Linked DNA regions of Arabidopsis thaliana. The protein of the gene in region 2 purifies or fractionates together with the protein of the main gene of each other region. This does not show direct contact. Each region holds a gene or a part of one and is shown on either strand. Other genes may lie near its edges. The genes, in order: PPa2 and AT1G53060.

Region 1 (7,752 bases), on a different chromosome or scaffold from region 2:
GTGGCTTTATCAACTTAAGAATATAGATAGGATGGGAACCGGGTTGTCTCCTACGCCTATAACGTAGATATTTTATCTGACCGTTGTGATATAACCTAAAACAACAAATGTGTAATTAACAGAGAAAAAGAGCCGGAAGAAGAGAAAACGAAAAAGAAGAAAAGGAAGAGAGGTGGAAAGAGTAAAACAGAGAAGAAGCAGGATGAGCAAGGCTTAGGAGAAGATGACGTTGTGGAGGATTTTGTGTTGAGTTCTGATGAAGAGGAAGAGGATCTGTTTGATATAGGAGGAGACAAAGATGAAGATGATGCAGTAGACGAAATTGCAGATCCTGAGACCAAGACATCTAAGAAGACTAAGGGCACTTATAAGACCTGGCATAAGGCTTACAAAAAGACCAAGAAGAAGAAGGCCCGAGTAGCTTCTTAAGTTTTTTTTGTATCTTCTTCGATTTGTATGAGAGTACTTTTCGGATGTTTGCGAAACAACATTAAACAAAATTTTGGGGAAAAGAAAAGCTAATATTTCAAATTTTATGATTGTACTGGAAATTTTTCATCATCATCAGAAAGCTTTAAGTTCAACAATGTTTTCTGATGAGCATTACGAAATTAAATGCACCAATTGAAATTTTATCTAACATGCATGTAGTATAGAAGGCGGCTTCAGTGATGTCTAAGCAAACCGGGAGGAACGGAAAAGGACTGGTTTCTTCATTAGCGTTGCAGGCCAGCTTTGATGTAAGCTGCGTAAAGATCCCTGCGTTTCAAAACAGTACATTGCTCATTATTAACAAAACAACGTGTAAATAATTTGGTGTTTGGGATAAAACAAACTTACATGGAGTCCTTGATAGCGTCTATGGCAGCTTGAGCGGGAAGGAAAGCTTCAACGTCGACTTTCTTGTTCTCGTTCTTCTTGTCTAAAAACATTGTTTGTTAAGTGAAAACTGAAAACAAATCATAAGCGAAAACAAAATTATACGTTAAATGCAACATGTCTCTGTAGGATACAGTCCTCAAAGAAGCGACGGATTTCAGCTAGACGGTGAGGGGGAAGCTCTTTGATGTCTCTGTAGTGACGGAACTCGGGATCATCAGCACATACTGCAATGATCTTGTCGTCTTTCTCACCCTGCAAGTTTCAGAACAAGGTGATTCCTGGTTTCTTACTAAGGTAATACATTACATAGAGGTAGAATTGGGTTTAAGAGTTTTTGTTACCTGATCAATCATGGGCATTAGACCAATAGCACGGGCACGGAGGAATGATCCGGTTAGCACAGGCTCCTGCACAGTATTTTATCTCAAGTCTGTTATTTCACTGCCTGTTTACATCAAGTTTGTATGAACATGAAAGCTAAGATGAGGCGAGAGAAAGCACCTGCATCAGTACCAGGACATCCATTGGATCACTGTCTTCACAGATAGTTCGAGGGATGAAACCGTAGTTGTGGGGGTACACAATGGATGAGTAGAGAACGCGATCAACCTAGAGAGGAAAACTTTCAGTGATCAGAGTTTTTCTTCATTTCGACTCTTACGGTGAAGGATATTTAGTTGGAATGCATAAAATGTGACTTATGATATATCTAGCAACAAAGAATTCCTCATATAACCGCATAATCAGACTATATATTGAGGGATCAGAAGACAGGTTATACTCAATCAAAGCATATATGATGCAAGCAGAGACTGCCAAAGAACACTGTACCTTAATAAGGCCACTGTTCTTGTCTAGCTCGTACTTAACCTTTCCACCTTTGCTAATTTCAACAACCTGACAAAGAATTCAAGCACATTTAACAATCACAAGACCAGCACTAACTTTCTTAATATGATCTAATCTTCCGCAATGTAGAAGAAGATAAAACTTACACAGTTGAAAACAGTAGGAGCTTCTGGACCTGAAAGATTCAACAAACAAAACACTTACATCAAACAATCAACACTTGACTCACATGACTATTCAAAGTAACAAAGACAAGGATTCTTACCAATCTCCAAGTCATGCCAAGGATGAGCAGCAGCTGATCTGTGAGTGAAGGCTGCAAAGTTTCTCTCATTCAGCGTAACATTAGGGTTCCTGAGAGGGAAAGCATAGCCCTTGGCGCTTCCTTCATCCTTGATTTCAGCCATATCGGATGTTCACTATAATATGCAAACAAAAGGAGAGTCTCATTCAATCATATACCAAACTCAAAACAGGCCATATAAATTATTCTCACTACTTAACCATTTCATACAATAACCACCAGACAAATCCTTCAACATTCCAGCAGAATCCAATCTTATAAACCATAAAAAATGACTGTTCAAATCCGAGCAGAGAAATGAAGCACACATTTCTACGATGGTTCACTGTTCTAATGCAACTCAATATCATCTTAGGCAAATATCTAACAACGCGAAAGGCTAAAGTATCAGAGATATGCGAAGAACATAGATCCATCATCGATTTCATGTAAATACACATCAAAACACTCAAATCACCAACTAGTCTAAGCTACATCAATTGGAAACTGAAATAGAATCGAAAAACAGAACTAATCCAAACAAATGAAAGATAATCGACGAATCGATCATCTGTGAAGACCAATCCAAGTACTCGGCGCTCAAAACGAAACGAAACCAACAAGAAAATAGCAAAATCAAACGAAATCGCTTCGATTCAACAAGAAGTGATCAAAACAAGTACCATTAACAGGAGAAGATAAACTAAAAATGACCTAATCGACGGATTTCGAAGGAAAAAAAGAAACGAGAGAAGAAGAAGAAGATGATCTTACAGATGAAATCTCAAGCTTCAATCGCGAAACCGAAGCAGAGAATCCGTAACGTTTTTTTCTTTCTTTCTTCTCTCTTCGTTTAAGAAAACAACAAGATTTTGCAGTTACAGTAGAGTTTTCGTGTGACTGTGTGTGTGGCGCTTCTTTATGGGACGTTGGAGGAGGAAGAAGACGCTGACGTCACTTTTTCCTCGGTTATTGTTCATCGTCAATCGTACGATGAATCGTGTCCGTTGAATTTGAAAGGTTAATGGATCTGACGGCCATGGTTTTTCAAGATTTTAATATCTTTCTTAAAAAAATAGTTAGTGTACCTTTTAATTGAACGAAAAGAAAAAGAGACGACAGTGATGTACCAAAAAAGTATCCGACTAACAAATTGTTATATGACGCGTGTCCTGAAAATTAGGCAATTTCTTTCAGTGAATTCCTTATTTTATTTTGTCTGTTTTTGGCAAACAAATTTATTATTTTCTTAGGATAAAGAAATGAATTTATATCACTCATTCTTCTTTCTTTCTTTTTTGTTTTCACTCAAAATCAGTCACTCATTATTCTGTGTATTTATTATTTTCTTTTTTGTTTTCATTATTCTGTCACAAAAACAAGTTGAATAACAAATTACCACTTTTGATATTTTTCTTTTTTCATAAGTATCTAATATGTCAAATGGGAAAAAATGATCATTATTGAGCTGTGGGGTTAACCACAACCAAAAAAACTGTGTCGTATGGATGTGACCATCGAGCAGTGTTTTTTTGGTGACTGTCAACTAGAATTACAAGTCTAGAGAATCATACGCAAAACGTTAAAATTCGGTTTAAGGTCCCAGAGAAACAAAAAAGATTCGGTTTTGGATTCTTTCTGGTTGGGCCTCACAGAATATCGAATCGTTCCATGTAAAAACCAAAAAAAGTTCAACATATTTTCCCTACTGGGCTTAAACAAATATTTTATGAAGCCCAACATGTTTAACAAAAGTATCTTACTTTGCGACACGTGTCATGTTCCTTCTCCCCACGTCATTCAGTTTCTTCCTCTTCTTTCCAGAAAAACCAAGACTTTAATACGACTAAGAAAAATTCAGACGAAACTGAGAAACTTTCAATTTAATTGGTTCAAAATCATCCTAAATCGAGTAGATTGTTTTGAATCGATTTTTGAAGTTGATTCGAAGTTCAGTGATTGTGATTAGAATTTATAACCAGACCCAGTTTTTGAGGTGAAGAAAAAGCAGATTTTGTGTTCAATTTCCATGGAAGACGAACCAGGAAGCGAAAATGAAGCAGACACCATAGTTGCTTCACCACTTGCAAAATGGAGAATCGAATTCTCGAAATCGTTTCAGAATTACTTAGACAGATCTGCTCCTAACATTGTTCGAAGATGGCTTGTGACTTTAGTCGCTGCAGTGATCTATATCTATAGGGTTTACTCTGTTTATGGATACTTCGTTATCTCTTATGGCTTAGCTACTTATATCTTAAATCTCTTGATTGGTTTCCTTTCCCCTAAAGTTGATCCTGAACTTGAAGCTTTGGATCCTGATTCTTTACCTGTTGATGAGTCTGATGAGTATAAGCCCTTTGTTCGTCGTCTTCCTGAGTTCAAGTTCTGGTAAAATTTCTCTTTTACTTTTGATGATGGATGATTTTGATTTAGGTTTGTCGAAAAGTTTGTGTTTTTACCATTCATTGTTAAAGTTCTGGTAGATTTCTTCTTTTGAGACAATTTGATTGATGATTGTTATGATAGTGAATTCGTATGAGAACTGATTTAGGTCTAATGGTCTGCTTTAGGGTTTGAATTCTCATGAAAGTTTGTCAATTTTGATTTTCAGGTATGCAGCGACTAAAGCATTTGTTGTTGCATTTGTGATGACATTCTTCTCTTTCCTGGATGTGCCTGTGTTCTGGCCGATCTTGTTGTGTTACTGGTTGGTTTTGTATTCTTTAACTATGAAACGCTTAATCGTGCACATGTTCAAGTATAGATACTTTCCTTTCGATGTAAGAAAGCCTGTGAAGCTGCTCAAGTTTCTTGTAAACAGTGTCCTGACCTTTTTAAGACTCAAGGTAAATCGTGCAACGGGGTGATTTGTATTCGATTTCTTTTGGATAGTCTTGAATCTCTGCTTTAGAAAGTTAAGAGTGCTGAACATAGATTGTGCTGATGTTTTTGACAGAAGGGTGATGGTGGAGATGATAGGCCCAGCAGCAGCAATTCATCTCAGGGAAATGAAAAACAAGATTAGATGCGAACAGTAGATCAGGTACTGATCTCGACGTGGTGATAGGCGAAGCAAGAAAGGATACAAACTAAGGATATCAAAGTAAAATATACTATAGCCATGCTGGTGGAATAGGAAAACAAAGTTCTTGAAGCTTAACAGAACTAAGAAATCTCTCTGAGTTTTGAGTAATCTCCTGCATTTTCCGGTTTTTGCATTGTAATGTGTAACAGTGTATTTTACAATTATACGTTTAAATGAATTTGGGAATCACAAGTAGGAAAAAGTATTCTTTACAGTTCCAGGACTTGGATACTACTCTGGACACAACTAATCACACAAAGCTGTGTTGACAGCCTCCAATACCAAGCACTGGTCCAAATCTCTTTGCAGAAACAGATACAGATTGGTCATCATACTCGGAGAACTGTGTGGACTCGAGTGTACTTACTTGACTTCCTAGGTTAGTATACTTCTCAAGCATTTATGTCTCTTGACTTCTATTGGTTTAGATATCGGTTTGGCAAATATTCATAGGGTTTATGCACAATTACATTTGCAACAACAACAAAATATAGTGAAGGATATAGCAATGAGAGATTACTGGAGAGACTCTATAAGACAGTTTCCGAGGAAGTGCAGTGCGTAAAACCGCAGACTGTTGTCCAATTCAGATATGTTGTACTCTTTGATCCGAGAAAAAGATGGTGTAAACCAAAATGGAACATTTCAAAGTCTGAAAAGAGAGATTGAATCAGCTCCAAGGCATAAGGGAAACCCGCTAATTCAGCAAGACTGTTTAATTTCCTATAAATATTCTATTTTTATTTTCTTTTCAGATATTTATTCATCACTTATCAGCGATTTGACGAGAAGAGCTTTTTGGTTTCTGCGAATCATCCAAAATCCGCCATGGAAGCAACTACAAGAATCTTGAGTACTTCTTCTGCTCTCAATCGTCTTCTTCTTCTCAGTAAGCTCAATCTAAAATCAGATCCCCGTAATATCAATTCCACAAATCAGCTACTACACAATGCCGTTACCCGAAAATCCTCTATCTCCGCCGCTCGTATACGGTGCTCTTCGCTCCCTGCGAATGCGAATCTCTTCAGATCACTCTTCTTCCTAACGTCAACGTTTCGTCTCGAGAACACCGCCGTTCACGCTAATCCATTCCGATCCGAACCTAACGACGGCGTCGCCGTCTGGAACAGAGCTCCACGGATCGTGAACGGAGGTGGAAACGCGGCGATATTCGGCGGGAACGAGGGGAAAGAGACGACGGTGGTTCTCCTTGGTTGGCTAGGAGCGAAAGCTAAACATCTAAGGAGATACGTTGAGTGGTACAACTCCAGGGGAATTAACGCCGTTACTTTCACTGTTGACGTTAGGGATTTGCTCCGGTTAGATCTTGGTCGGCGGCTTGAACGAAGGATAGCTGAATTTGGGAATGAATTGGTTAATTGGGTATCGGAGAAAGAAGATGATGGTAGAGAGAAATGCTTGGTGTTTCACAGTTTCAGTAACACTGGTTGGCTTGTGTAGGTTGATGAAACCAAAATCCTTCAAAATCCTACATTGTGATTGCGATTGTGATTTAGTGTTGATTTGAATTAGATGATGAATTTTAAGCATGGTGGGCTTTTTTACTTTTGGTAGATATGGTGCCTTGCTAGAGAGCTTCATTGGTAGACAAGATTTAGTAGAAAGGATTAAGGGTTGTATCATTGACTCGGGAGGAGCAGATCCTCTTGATACTAAGGTTTGTTCTCTCTTTCATGTAACCAAGAGTTTTAAATGCTATTCAATGGTTTCTCCACTGCTTCAAGATCTTGTATTGGAAGTGGAAATGTCAATATTGTTGTGAAGTGAAAAATTCTATTTGAGCTATGTTGTCCTCTTTTTCAATAATGATTCATTTTATGCTAGTGTGAAAGCTTTGCTAGTTTGAGTTCTATGTTGAAGAACTTTGTATCGATTACAAGCATTTGCAGAACCATGGCTAGGGGACTTTTGATTTTGATATCTAAGCAATTAGCTTTGTAGATAGATAACTCAGTACTTAGAAAAGACTATATAGCTATGAGTTAAAACCGCTGATTTCTTTTGGTTACGTAGCCATCACTCACAGGTTTATAGTACATCGGCCTATATATCTTGTGAATGTGATCTTGTTCTCTTGCAAGATATGATGTCTTAGGCATGTGAACAAGATAAAATGAGCTTCATAGTATGTGCCTGAGTTTGTTCTGAAGCCCCTTTTGTTGAAAATTGCTTAATCATTGCGTAGTCCTAATAAGCCATCATAATCATTCATCTTGCATAAGATTAGCAATGCGTACACCTGTGCAGATTTTATAGATCAACAATTGAATTCTGTTCTTTTGCAGATTTGGGCAGCGGGGTTTACCGCGGCTATACTGAAGAAGCGTAGCTCCACCATAACCACAGAACCAAACAGTCCCATAAAAGAAGAGGATGCTTCAACACCACAAAAGAAGGAACCTTTAGGAATCGAAAACATAATGCTATCATCTCTGGAGAAACTCTTCCCCATCTTCTTAAACCACCCAGACGTCAATACGTAAGCTTCACACCACACAGTAGACAACCCATCTGCTTCTTCTTTGTATATTAGGTTGATTAATCTGAGTTATTGTTTGTATCGCAGGAGGCTAACAAAAATCATTCAAAAACTATATGAGAACCATCCTCCATGTCCTCAGCTCTATCT
Region 2 (11,551 bases):
GCTCCGGACCGGCTCATGCCATCGGTTGCTGGTCCTAGCTCGGCGTACCCGATGAAGATTAGATTTGTTCCGTCGAAACGGTTGAAGTTGAATTTGACGGCGGAAATGGTTTTAGAGCTTAACAAAGATATGAACAGAACAAAAATACAGAGTTTGTGGATCTGCATTATGCGTTTGTTGTTTACGTGTGTATGTTTTTGTTTTTGGTGTTATGGAAGTGGAAGTAGTGCTGTAATATATAGTGTGACGAAAGCCAGTGAACTTCAACTATGACTTTTCAAACATATATAGAGGTCAAATATGATAGCGCCAACTGGGCACACGAAAAAGACTATTTTTTAGTGATAAACCATTGATTTCTGAATTCAAGATGGATGGAAAAAAAAAACTAAAGAACAAAACAATTATTATGAATCGAAAGGATTGTTAACTCTCTCTCACGACTTTACACATTAGCACATAGAGTTTGCCACATAAACTTCATAAAATAAGTAATAAATAATTAGTAATAAATAATTAGTAATAATTTAACATAACAACTAAAATAAGAGGATATAATTAATCAGAACTTGAACCATCACAGTTTTTATATTTTTTTTAATTCAATATATCCTCTTTAATTTTGAGATCTACTTGAGTGGTTAAAGTGATCATAAAATCCAAACATGTTACACATATTCCTTGCCTAAAAATTAGACGATTATTATGAAAGAAACTAAATGAATATGCAGATTAAATATATCTAAGCTTTTCGAGAATTATGCTAAGAAACAAGTATTTTGAAAGATGTTTGAGGAGCTATCCTTATAACTAATATGTAAGATATAAGATTATGACAAGAACTTAACTAAACTTTCCAAGAACATCAAGTTAAATATGATTAGATTTAATATGCAAAGACATGGTTAATAAAGACATGTTATATTTTTAGTATAAGAAACAAATTTTCTAAAATTTCACCGTCCCACAATCTAAACATATAACAAAAAAAACAAGGATATATAAATTTTAAAAAAACTGAGAATCTAGAACAACAATAAAAAAAAACAACTCAAGCATATTCGTTTTTCATATGAACTAATATAGTTGGACTTTTCAAAAACAATTACAAATCATATTTATGTTTCAAAACCGATGCATTCAACTTTACTTTATGTTATATGAACAAACATTATATAAAACAATTTGTAAATAGTAATACATAAACCCGCACGTAGTGCGGGTACTCATCTAGTTTATCATTAAAGTCGAATAAACACAATAACTCATAAGAAAATTTATCTAATCCTTACTACTAATTATATTTCCACTAGAGCCGGTCTTGATATTTAAGGAGTCCAAACGCAAGAAAAGATTGTTCTGGTATTTTTTGGACTAGTTATCAAAGAAATGACAAAACATTTTAAAAAATTAGAGTTCATGAAGGCTTTGTTATATTGCAAAGGGTCCATTTTTAGATTATTGTTTTGTTGATGAGGCCGAAAACTTTGGAGGTCCTAGATCAATGATTCCTTTCGCTTGTCGCATGGTCACCTTTGCCTAGCACGATCCTCCACCAAAAACACGTCAAATTCTATTCTAGCAGATTGATGATTGTAGTCAAATCACATCGTCGTAGGTAAAATTATGAGATGCTGTCTGTCCAAGCCTCGACAACGAGGACACACTCTTCAATTGGATAAAGCAAAAACACTAAAAAAATATCTCACTGAAAGAGGGAGAATACGAAATAGATATGAGAAAGAGCGTATATACAACCACGATATATAATCTCAAAGAGCATTCATCTCTATCACACTTTTACAACATAATCTGAAAGAAACGAGACAACTTTCCGACAATTCATCAAGTCCTCCTTTCCTTCGTTCCTAGATCTCTCATTTTCCAAGTCGCATCATGGAGTGTTATAATCCACTTGGCATGTAACATTTCCTCTTTAAAAGTCTTCCACAAAACAACATAGTTGGTAGTAGACTCTTTTTTTCCGGTAAACATGTTAAGATGTTTTAGACTATTTTGATAGTCCCATAACTACGATCTCCACATTTCTCCTATAAATCTGATTCTCATCTAGTCATGTTGGCCAATTTTGATAGAATGTAAAATCATTTTTTCTTTTTTTGTCAACGAGAAATGTAATTTAAAAGTGACTAACATAAAAGATTAGGAACGAAACGTCCTTGATTTCTACTAATCTGACAACAATAATACATCAAATTGTCGGTAAGACATAAAATGAGCAATTATTTCACTTCAATTATCACAAGCTGAAGGCACACCAGGGTAAACCAGAAACATAAACCAAAAGAAAACCGATGATCTCGAACCAAACCAAACCTGTTTTCTTAATTCTGGAAAGTCCAGTCCCAAATCTCGTGACGCTCGACACCACGACCCATCGAACCAGCAAAACCGGTATACATTACCTCGTGTATGACCTTGGAAAGATCGAATTTTGCTTCAATCAATGGCCGGTTCGGTTTCTTCAAATGCGCTAAACCAATCGTAACAGAGACTACTTTATAATTGTTGTTGTACTCAATCCAAGCCTTGTATCTATCTCCACTACTTAGCTTCAAATCCTTAAATAACCAACCGCTTCTTGTCATAACCCAATAACCGGATTTCACAGAAACCACCGAATCAACCGAATTAATATCGATTCCGACATGGTTATCGTTCATGTCGCCAAGAGATTTGTCTTGAAAGACATCGAACTCAACGGCAAAGAGGTGGTTATTAGGATTACCGTTATTGGTTCGGTTCAGAAGACTGAGATAGCCTAAACCGGAACCGGCGTCGTTTTGGTTACTTGGGACGACGATGAAAGCAAGGCCATGACCTTGATTAGGGTTTGTTTTAGGAGTAATGGAGAAAGTGAAAGAGGTTTTAAAAGGGTAAAGAGCTGAAGCATTAGGCTTGAAAGTGATTGGAGTGGTGAAAATGGCTCGACCATGAGAGAAAGGAATGTTGTCTCGAGTCAATGCGATGGCTCCGGACCGGCTCTTGCCATCAGTGTCAGGACCATACTCAGCGTCTCCATGGAATGATATTGGATCGGTGCCGTTACCAAAGTAATCGAATTTGAATTTGTAAGCAGTGGTGACTTGAGAGGTGAAGATAGCTAAGAACAGAGTGGTGAAACAGAGTATTTGGATCTTCATTTTTTAGTTCTGTTTTTGGGAATTTGGGAAGTGAAAGTGGTGAACTTTAAAAGATGTGAGTGTTGAAAAGATCGAGAAGACTTAAAATAATTGAGAGAGAAGAGAGACAAAGAATTTGAATTATGGCATTAGATGACAAAAGCTGTTCTCGAAAGTGCACAAAATGGTTCTACTTTTTCTGTGCCCACAATGCTGAAAACAAAAACGTTATGAGTGTATAGGAGGAAATTAAAACTAGTATTGATTGAATAAACTTATATATGTATATAAGTTAGTCTGTCCTAATATATAGGTTAGGAAAGATATAAGTTAGTCCACATTCATGATCAAATCTATCATATTTCATTAAGTTATACCAAAACCAAATTTTTCTTAATTAACAATATACTATGTGTCCTTTATATATTAAAAGTTTTTAGTGCTTATGTGACAATCCCACATTTTTTCTCTCAGCTTTTTTACTATTTAATTATTTTGTTATAACTATCAATTTGTCAAACACATTTTTCTTTATCCTCATTCTCTTTAAACCATTTAGTCATTTACCAAACACATTTAAATTTTTTTCAAATATATAGAGTTACCAAATCATGTATTTTTAACTTCTCTTATTATCACCAAATTAACAATTTCCATTATGTGTATATATGTATATTAAATGGTTAGATTTTTCTTTAATGTCATTCAATTTGATTATGACCTAAAAATTAACAAAGTTTGATACTAAAGAAACATTTGTTTACTTTTAAATCACTCCATTTAACTTTTAAATCATCACCATTTAGTTCTAAAGTTTTTAAACCAAAATAGAATGTCTTAGTAAATAATATAAAATAAAAAAATAAAAAAAAAATATATTAAAAAAATCAACCTAACTTATAAATATACTTTATTGATAAAATATGTATATATATTATTGGATTGTTTTTGTTTAAACCATGCAATGAAGTAATCATTGGATTGTTTTTGTTGTTGCAAACTTGCAATGAGGTTACAAAAAGGGAAAGAAGACGAGACGACTCGTCCAGAAAAAGGTCGGAGAAATTTTGAGATGAGAGCCAAATCAGGCGAAATAGGGCTTACCCGACTTGATGATAAAGAAGTATCATGATATGGTTGGATGTCATACGTATGTGTTCAAATTTCCTTACTGGTACATTTTTTTTGTGTGTGGAGAGTAGTCTATTTTCATGGTGTGATTAAGTTTGTATACCGAGTTTCACTCAATGAAACGTATTGTGTGAGAATATGTTTCAAATGACGAATATTTGTAGTTAATTCTTGACATAGATCGTTGCAGGAAAGGATCTATGTTGAAGCCTACATAGGCACATGCCTTACTGGTTTTTCAGCAATTTACCGTCTCATAGAAGATTACGATATCTAATAGTTCTTACTATGGAAATGGATCCTTTATTGTAAATCTTTCTAGAAATCTGAAAGTAGATACATGGCACGTTAGGCCATAACATAAGCATTTATTAGCCTTCAACTATCACTAGCCTTAGCATCACGAGATTCACGACAGAAAACGAAGCTGCAAAACCAGTAACAACTTTGACATAAACAAAGCTGAAGCAAACCGGTTTATTAGTCTTTGGCACTGTTCTCAAAACTCCAGTCCAAGATCTCGTGACGCTCGACGCCACGTCCCATTGAACCGGCAAAACCGACATACATTTTCTCGAGAAAAACCTTAGAAAGATCGACTCGTGCTTCGATCAATGGCCTCTTCGGTTTTTCTTGTGAACGTCCGATCGTGACTGTCACTTTCCCGTTCTCGTACTCAATCCAAGCCCTGTATCCGTTTCCACTTAGCTTCAATTCCTTGAACAACCACCGGTTTTTTCCTTCGATTTTTGATTGATACCAATAACCGGCCTTCTTAGATACCGTTGAATTAACCGAATTATTGTTGATTCCGATATGGTTATCGTTAATGTCGCCAAGAGACTTGTCTTTAAAAACATCAAACTCAACCGCAAAGAGATGGTTCTTGGGATTACCGTTGCTAAACCGGTTCACAAGACTGAGATAGCCTAAACCAGAAGCGGAGTCGTTTCTATCGTTGGGGACGATGATAAAGGCGAGGCCATGACCGGGATTAGGATTTTTCGGGCGAGGACTAATGACGAAATAGAAAGAAGTTTTGAAAGAGTAGACAGAGGAAGAAGTAGAACTAGGCTTAAAAGGGACTGGATTGATGAAAATGGCTCGACCATGAGAGAATGGGACATTGTCACGGCTCAATCCAATTGCTCCTGACTTGCTCATACCATCAGGCTCTGAAGCGTACTCGGCGTCTCCATGGAATGTCATCAGATCAGTTCCATTTCCGAAGTAAATGAAGTCGAAACTGTAAGCAGAACACGTTATGGCGTGAGAGCAAAACAGAGCAAAAAACAGAGGAATGAAACAGAGTGTTTTGATCTGCAATTCTGTTTATTTTTTTCTTGGATATGGAAAGTATAAGAGGATAACAAGATTTATATAGTGAAAGAGAGCCAACAAAGTTTGACTCGACAAGATCATTTATTTTTCACAAGTAAAGATCTCGTAACACCTTTCTTGGTAAATTTCATAAAAAGTCACAAATTAAAAAGTTCAACTTTTGGAACATTTTCTAAATTATGATATATAACTCTGTTTCTACAGCTTTCTTATAATAAAATAATATCACATTACAGGGAAGCTAAAACGTGAAAAGATTTGATTCTATGATGATATATAATCTTTGAATCAATAAAATACAATTATTTTTCACTCAAAATACGCCGTGTTAAAAGGTTTCAGGCAAATGAGGTTCGGTTTGATCATTTACTTTTGCCTCACTGATGGATCAACGGCTAGAAACAGATGAGGGATGATTGGTTGCGACTTGTTGGCTCGAAGCTTCGTCAGCTTGAAGTTTCTTGACTCGAGCCTTATCGATTCGTGCTCTTCTCACAGCTTCTTGGATATGTCGGTCATGGTCTTTCAACACTTGATCCATGTTTCCTGATGGAACCACTAACGGTCCTGAGTAATGAATCTTGTGCCCTTTTGATCCATAACCCAACTGCAAACCAAACCATACAACTCAGAATATTAACATTGCTAGTCTTCTAAAATTAGCAAAGGAGGGACGTTTAGGGAACTTACGAGAATAGGGTCTTTCTTGTTGCTTCGACCATTCTCTTCCTGGTTTGCTTCTTCAGACGTTTCCTTGAATGAACCTGGAAGCCGAGTCATTCCTCTGCAAGTCTCTTGTTGTGGTGCGCCTGTTCTTGTTGCGGCAAAACCAGGCATTGCTGAGTAATCAGCTATGGATGAAACCTTTTGAGAATCTTGGTAATTCCGTCTACCCTTTGCGGAAGCAGATCTACGTGATAGAGGACCAGAATGTGAAGCTCTCTTGTGAGGAATTATATTGCCCTGAGATTCTCTGTTTGGTTCAAATGCTTGTGATGACGGCCTTGGTGGATCGATTGGGAAACCGGATGCAACTTCTTCAGGATGTGGATTAAACTTCTCGCTTCGACTTCTATTAGTAGACTGGCTCTGCCTTTTCTGCAATGACATAAATGCGAGAGGGTCAAAAACGTTGAATAAAAGCAAAAAGCTTTAACATCGAAAGAAATAGATTTTTTAAGATTTTTTAACCTGCATTGATGCAACCAGCTCTGCATTTGCGTCAGGGGCTGGGATGGCTCGAGATTCCTTAGTTCCTCTTCTTTCTTGGTGTCTTTGGTCCCTGTTTCCTCCAACTTGTCTACAAAAACAGGAACTAGATTAAAGCATTTCTATAAATATTTCTTTTTGCGTTAATGATACTATGCTATCGTAAGAGCATTGCAGGATAAAAGTCACATCAGACTAGAAAATCTGGATGGCATACCTTCTACTTTCCTCATCCCGCATTCTTGCATCGAGCTCTTTGCTGGGAGGATATTTAGGCAAGCTTGAAGGATCACATGGAAGAGGTCTGGTGGAGAAGAACTGAAAATAAAAGAATGATAATTTGATGTTACAAAAGCGATTACCAGGAAATACAGACGCATAAGAACACACAGCTTTTACTGCCTGAGTAATGCCAGTACCTCACTCTTGAGAGCTGCAGTGGCAGTTCCACGATCGTCAGGATTGACTGAAAGGAGAGTTTCAAGAAGGGCTAAAGCTGGCTGAGGAAACTCCTTGAATGTTTCACCCACTAAGCGTTTATATGGTTGAGTAGGCTTGAAAATTGTTGCATGAGGCAACCTTGATTTTACCCAATAGTCCTCGGTAGGCGAGCCACATAGCTTGAAAATCTTGTGCAACTGTTCCACCTGTAACACCATAAGCATTACCAGAGTCACCTTACGAAACCAAACTAGTCTAACATAAATCAGAGCAAACACTAAAAGAGAAAACAAAAACTGTAAATCTACCTCGGTTCTACCAGGCATAATAGGCTTGCCTGCATATAGTTCAGCAAGAATGCAACCTGCACTCCACAAATCAACTGCTGCTCCATAGCGAGTTGCTCCGAGCAAAAGCTCAGGTGGACGGTACCAAAGAGTTACCACACGACTGGTCAAAGGCTGAGTTTGACGAGGATCAAAGAAACTAGCTAATCCAAAGTCAGCAATCTTTAAAACTCCACTATTATCTATTAGCAGGTTTGAGCCTTTTATATCCCGATGGAGTACACCACGACTGTGACAATGGTCTAGTCCATGTAATAGTTGCTGCAGGTAGCACTTAACCTGTATGAAAAGAAAGCCCAGCCTCAGAAAATTGTACTGAAAGTGGTGCCTAGGTCATGAAGATGTTGAATAGAAACAAAAAAAAGTTACCTGTGATTCAGAAAATTTTATCGCGGGATGCGAGGCTAGCCCAGCTAAATCGTGTTCCATGTACTCGAAAACAAGATATAAGCTGCAAGACATTCTTGACGTAACTAAGCCTTCTAGCTTTATGATATTAGGATGATCAAGCCGGCGTAATATCTGGATTTCTCTAGCCATAAAACGCACACTTTCTGGCTCCAAGTTATCAAACCTAACTTTCTTCAAAGCCACAATTTTCTTCTGATCCAGGTCGCGAGCCCTATATACATTACTATAAGTGCCCTGACCAATCTGCATAAAACAATTAAAACCGCTGCATCAGGGATCATTCTTCACAGCTATAAGTTCAAAACCTTTTCAGGTCATGTTATATAGTTTTAAAAACCATCAACTGAAAAACAAAATCCACTTTCAATAACATAAAAGCATCATTTACTGCAACCCATATCTTTGGAGCTTAGGATATGTTTCTAAATACGGAAACATGCCACTATATGTCATGCAATCAAAAGAGTCTATTTAACAGTATTTTCAAAATGAATGTATATATACAAAGAAAAGAAGATTACTTTGTCCAACTTCTCAAAAGAATCCGCACGCCGAGGAACCCATCCCCTGATAGCTTCTCCAGCTACAGAAGCCAGCCATGGAGGCCAACCTGCAGCTACATACTCTCCTTCAGTTGCTTTAGCTATGGTAATACTCATTGCAAGAGGTGAAGTAGCAGCAACATTCTCAATCCTCTTCTCTCTTCTACTCAAATTCTCTCCACGCAAATGCAACGAAACATTGGATTGCTTATTACTCAACACTGGTCTTACACTAACAACATCAGACCGTTCCTTAATCCTAAGCGGCTCCTCCCTTCTAGAAGAAGCAACCGGTCTTGAAACTCTAAACTCAGAAGAGGATTTGCTTGAGAAACGCTCTCTTGGACTATCTTTGCTATCTTCAATAGCAGAAGGCTTACCACAAACACAACCCATCTCCCTCAATTTACCCCCAAATTTTTTTGATACTTAGAACCAAAAATAATCTTTACACAATTCATCCATCTTCTTCCACTAGCTAATTAAATGGACCACATGAAAAAACTAGACCCATTAAAACACATAAAGTCAGAGACTTTCCAAAAAGGAGAAACGAAATTAAGGAACCCTAGAACTCGAAGAACAGTGTATATAACCCAGAAAAAAAAAGGAATGATTTTTACTCAATCTGCAAAATGTACCCAGATCAAGAAGATTGTTCAGGCATTAATAACTACAGTGTAGTACAAAAAAACCCAGGATTATAACTTTTGTGCATAAAGCAAGTACCTTTCAAGAGATTGAAGAGAGAGAGAGACGACTAAAAAAACCAGAAGCAAAATGGTAAAATTGAATAATTTGCAGGAATAACTAATAAACAATGGAGCTTTCGAGAATAATTATGAGGAGAAATCAAAAGGGTTTAAGAGTGTTTGCTTGAGAGAGAGATGGATCTGGGGCGGAGAGATTTCTGAGAGACGCATGTGTTGTTGAAGCACAATGTTGAATGAATTAAAAAACCTTTGTAAAAATTGGAAACTCCAAAAAGTAATATTATGAGCATTTTAATAATAATAAATACGTTCGGTAGTGTGAATTTTTTTTTCACTTATGTATTTATGAGTATAGTTGTATTTCGCAGTTAATAACTTATTTAATAGTTGAACCCAAAAAAAAACCTTACCATTTAATTTACTTTTTTGTGTGGGACAAAATCGAAACTGGATAATGAGAAAGACATTCTCGATGTGATTCGTTAAAAAACACTTTTTCTAATCTTAAATAATCATAATTAAAAAAACTAATCAAACCCTTATTTTCATATTTGTTTTCCAACTCATTTAAAATTTTGAACTAATTGTAAAATAAATTCACCAAAAATTAAATACATTATACAGTTTACGTAATAAATATCATTATATAAAGAAATAATATCGTAAATCAGTGTAACGAGTATCAAAAATATCACTATAACACGGTTTATGTTTTTAAAAAAAAATACATTCTAATAAAATTATATTATTATAATCTTATGACGGACAATTTGTTACATATTCATATTACAGTGAATTGTAAGAACTAGTATTGTATTTGTCTTTTTTAACTCTATACAAAACTAAATTTTTGTTCTTTACGAAGTAAAGAAAAACAAGAATAGTGAATCTATAGACTATAATTTAATATTCAAAGCGCGTAAACTTCATGTTCATGCAACGAGAGTATTGAAATTTTCTATTGAGGTAAACGTCAAAAGCCTTTTCGCTTTCGCTTCCATCTTCCATATGTAATTTATTTTTAATTCCCATAATCCCTGCACTAATGAAATTAAGATAGATTTTTAAATAGGGACGTTATAGTTTGAATGAAGTAATTATACAATTTTAGTCTCCAAGTCATTTCTATTTTGCTATCTACCTGACTTTAAGATACAGTTTTCTGAATCAGTTTTTCGTTTTATTAAAAGTTATCTAAATTTGCTATTAATAAAATAAAAACAATAATTGCATGAATGGTCAACTAATTATAGTTTACACCGTATTCTATAGTTTAAAAAAAATCTTATCGCATACAATTATGAGTATAATTAATGTTCACATTACTGGCATTAACAGTTAGAACCCTGATTAGAACTAACACTTTTTTGAATGATATCAAATTCTAAGATTTTTTTTTATTTAAAATAATACTGTAGTTATATGATATGAATGAAATGATTTTCAAAGATATAAGAAAAAAATAATCGTCAGCATCAGTTCGTTTACCTAATAATTGGAGAAGAGTGATTATCCACATTATGCTTACAAGTTACGACCGAATTTAATAGACTTGTCATCTTCATTTTAGACAATAAAACAAATTTGGGCCCATTCTCTTAGAGAACTGATATATACTATAAAATCTTCGAAATGATCACATGTATTATTTCAGAGAACGGCTATAATATAAATGTGTACCACATATTATTATCAATTCATACACCAACCATACGAATGATACCATACCATTGTACTAAAACTATTTAATCTTTTAATATTTTTGGATTTTTTTACTAAAAATATATGATTTGTTTGTTGTATTTTCAGATGCTATATGCAAATGGTGCGGAATAAGACGAAACACACATAACAAATTAAACAAACGCACCAGAAAATGGTTTGAATAATGATTTTCATAACTATCAAAATGTAACTATTTTCGTCTAACATTTTGAATCACCGAGACATGTTTTAAGAGGTAATTTTAAAACAATCTTACAAGCAACCAAACACAGTAATCGTACGCAAAAAACCTTTTCTAGAAGTGTTGCCAAATGCACATCTTTCTAGTTAGAAAATATATAGAGAACATTTTTTGTATCGAAGAAAGATGTAAAATATATTTCCCAAAGAAACAAAAAAAATAGTTTTTCATCAGCAAGCTAGTTATGTGGCCGTGTGGGTGAAAAGTATTTTGTTGGCTAAAGAATTGGACAACTGGTAGAATTATGCATTCAATATAGGGTTGGTTCGGGTAATTTATTTTGATCGAGTAAGAGCTTTGGATACTG

The links.
Region 1: the proteins of AT1G53060 (region 2) and PPa2 fractionate together in Arabidopsis thaliana (co-fractionation; one large-scale study listed by BioGRID). This does not show direct contact.

The regions. Positions count from the first base shown.
Region 1 is NC_003071.7:7,931,423-7,939,174, forward strand, and holds PPa2 (pyrophosphorylase 2), read right to left. Parts: upstream 2,932-7,752; 5' UTR 2,789-2,931; intron 2,151-2,788; 5' UTR 2,139-2,150; coding exon 1,997-2,138; intron 1,907-1,996; coding exon 1,878-1,906; intron 1,780-1,877; coding exon 1,714-1,779; intron 1,492-1,713; coding exon 1,384-1,491; intron 1,290-1,383; coding exon 1,224-1,289; intron 1,135-1,223; coding exon 1,014-1,134; intron 923-1,013; coding exon 841-922; intron 760-840; coding exon 717-759; 3' UTR 501-716; downstream 1-500. Other genes in the region: AT2G18220 (Noc2p family), read left to right, coding at 123-429; AT2G18240 (Rer1 family protein), read left to right, coding at 4,044-4,405, 4,629-4,863, 4,974-5,042; AT2G18245 (alpha/beta-Hydrolases superfamily protein), read left to right, coding at 5,931-6,559, 6,678-6,780, 7,409-7,602, 7,690-7,752.
Region 2 is NC_003070.9:19,769,984-19,781,534, reverse strand, and holds AT1G53060 (Legume lectin family protein), read right to left. Parts: upstream 5,613-11,551; 5' UTR 5,484-5,612; coding exon 4,755-5,483; 3' UTR 4,505-4,754; downstream 1-4,504. Other genes in the region: AT1G53080 (Legume lectin family protein), read right to left, coding at 1-167; AT1G53070 (Legume lectin family protein), read right to left, coding at 2,346-3,164; AT1G53050 (Protein kinase superfamily protein), read right to left, coding at 6,004-6,222, 6,306-6,713, 6,807-6,915, 7,042-7,142, 7,244-7,471, 7,574-7,891, 7,982-8,266, 8,545-8,961.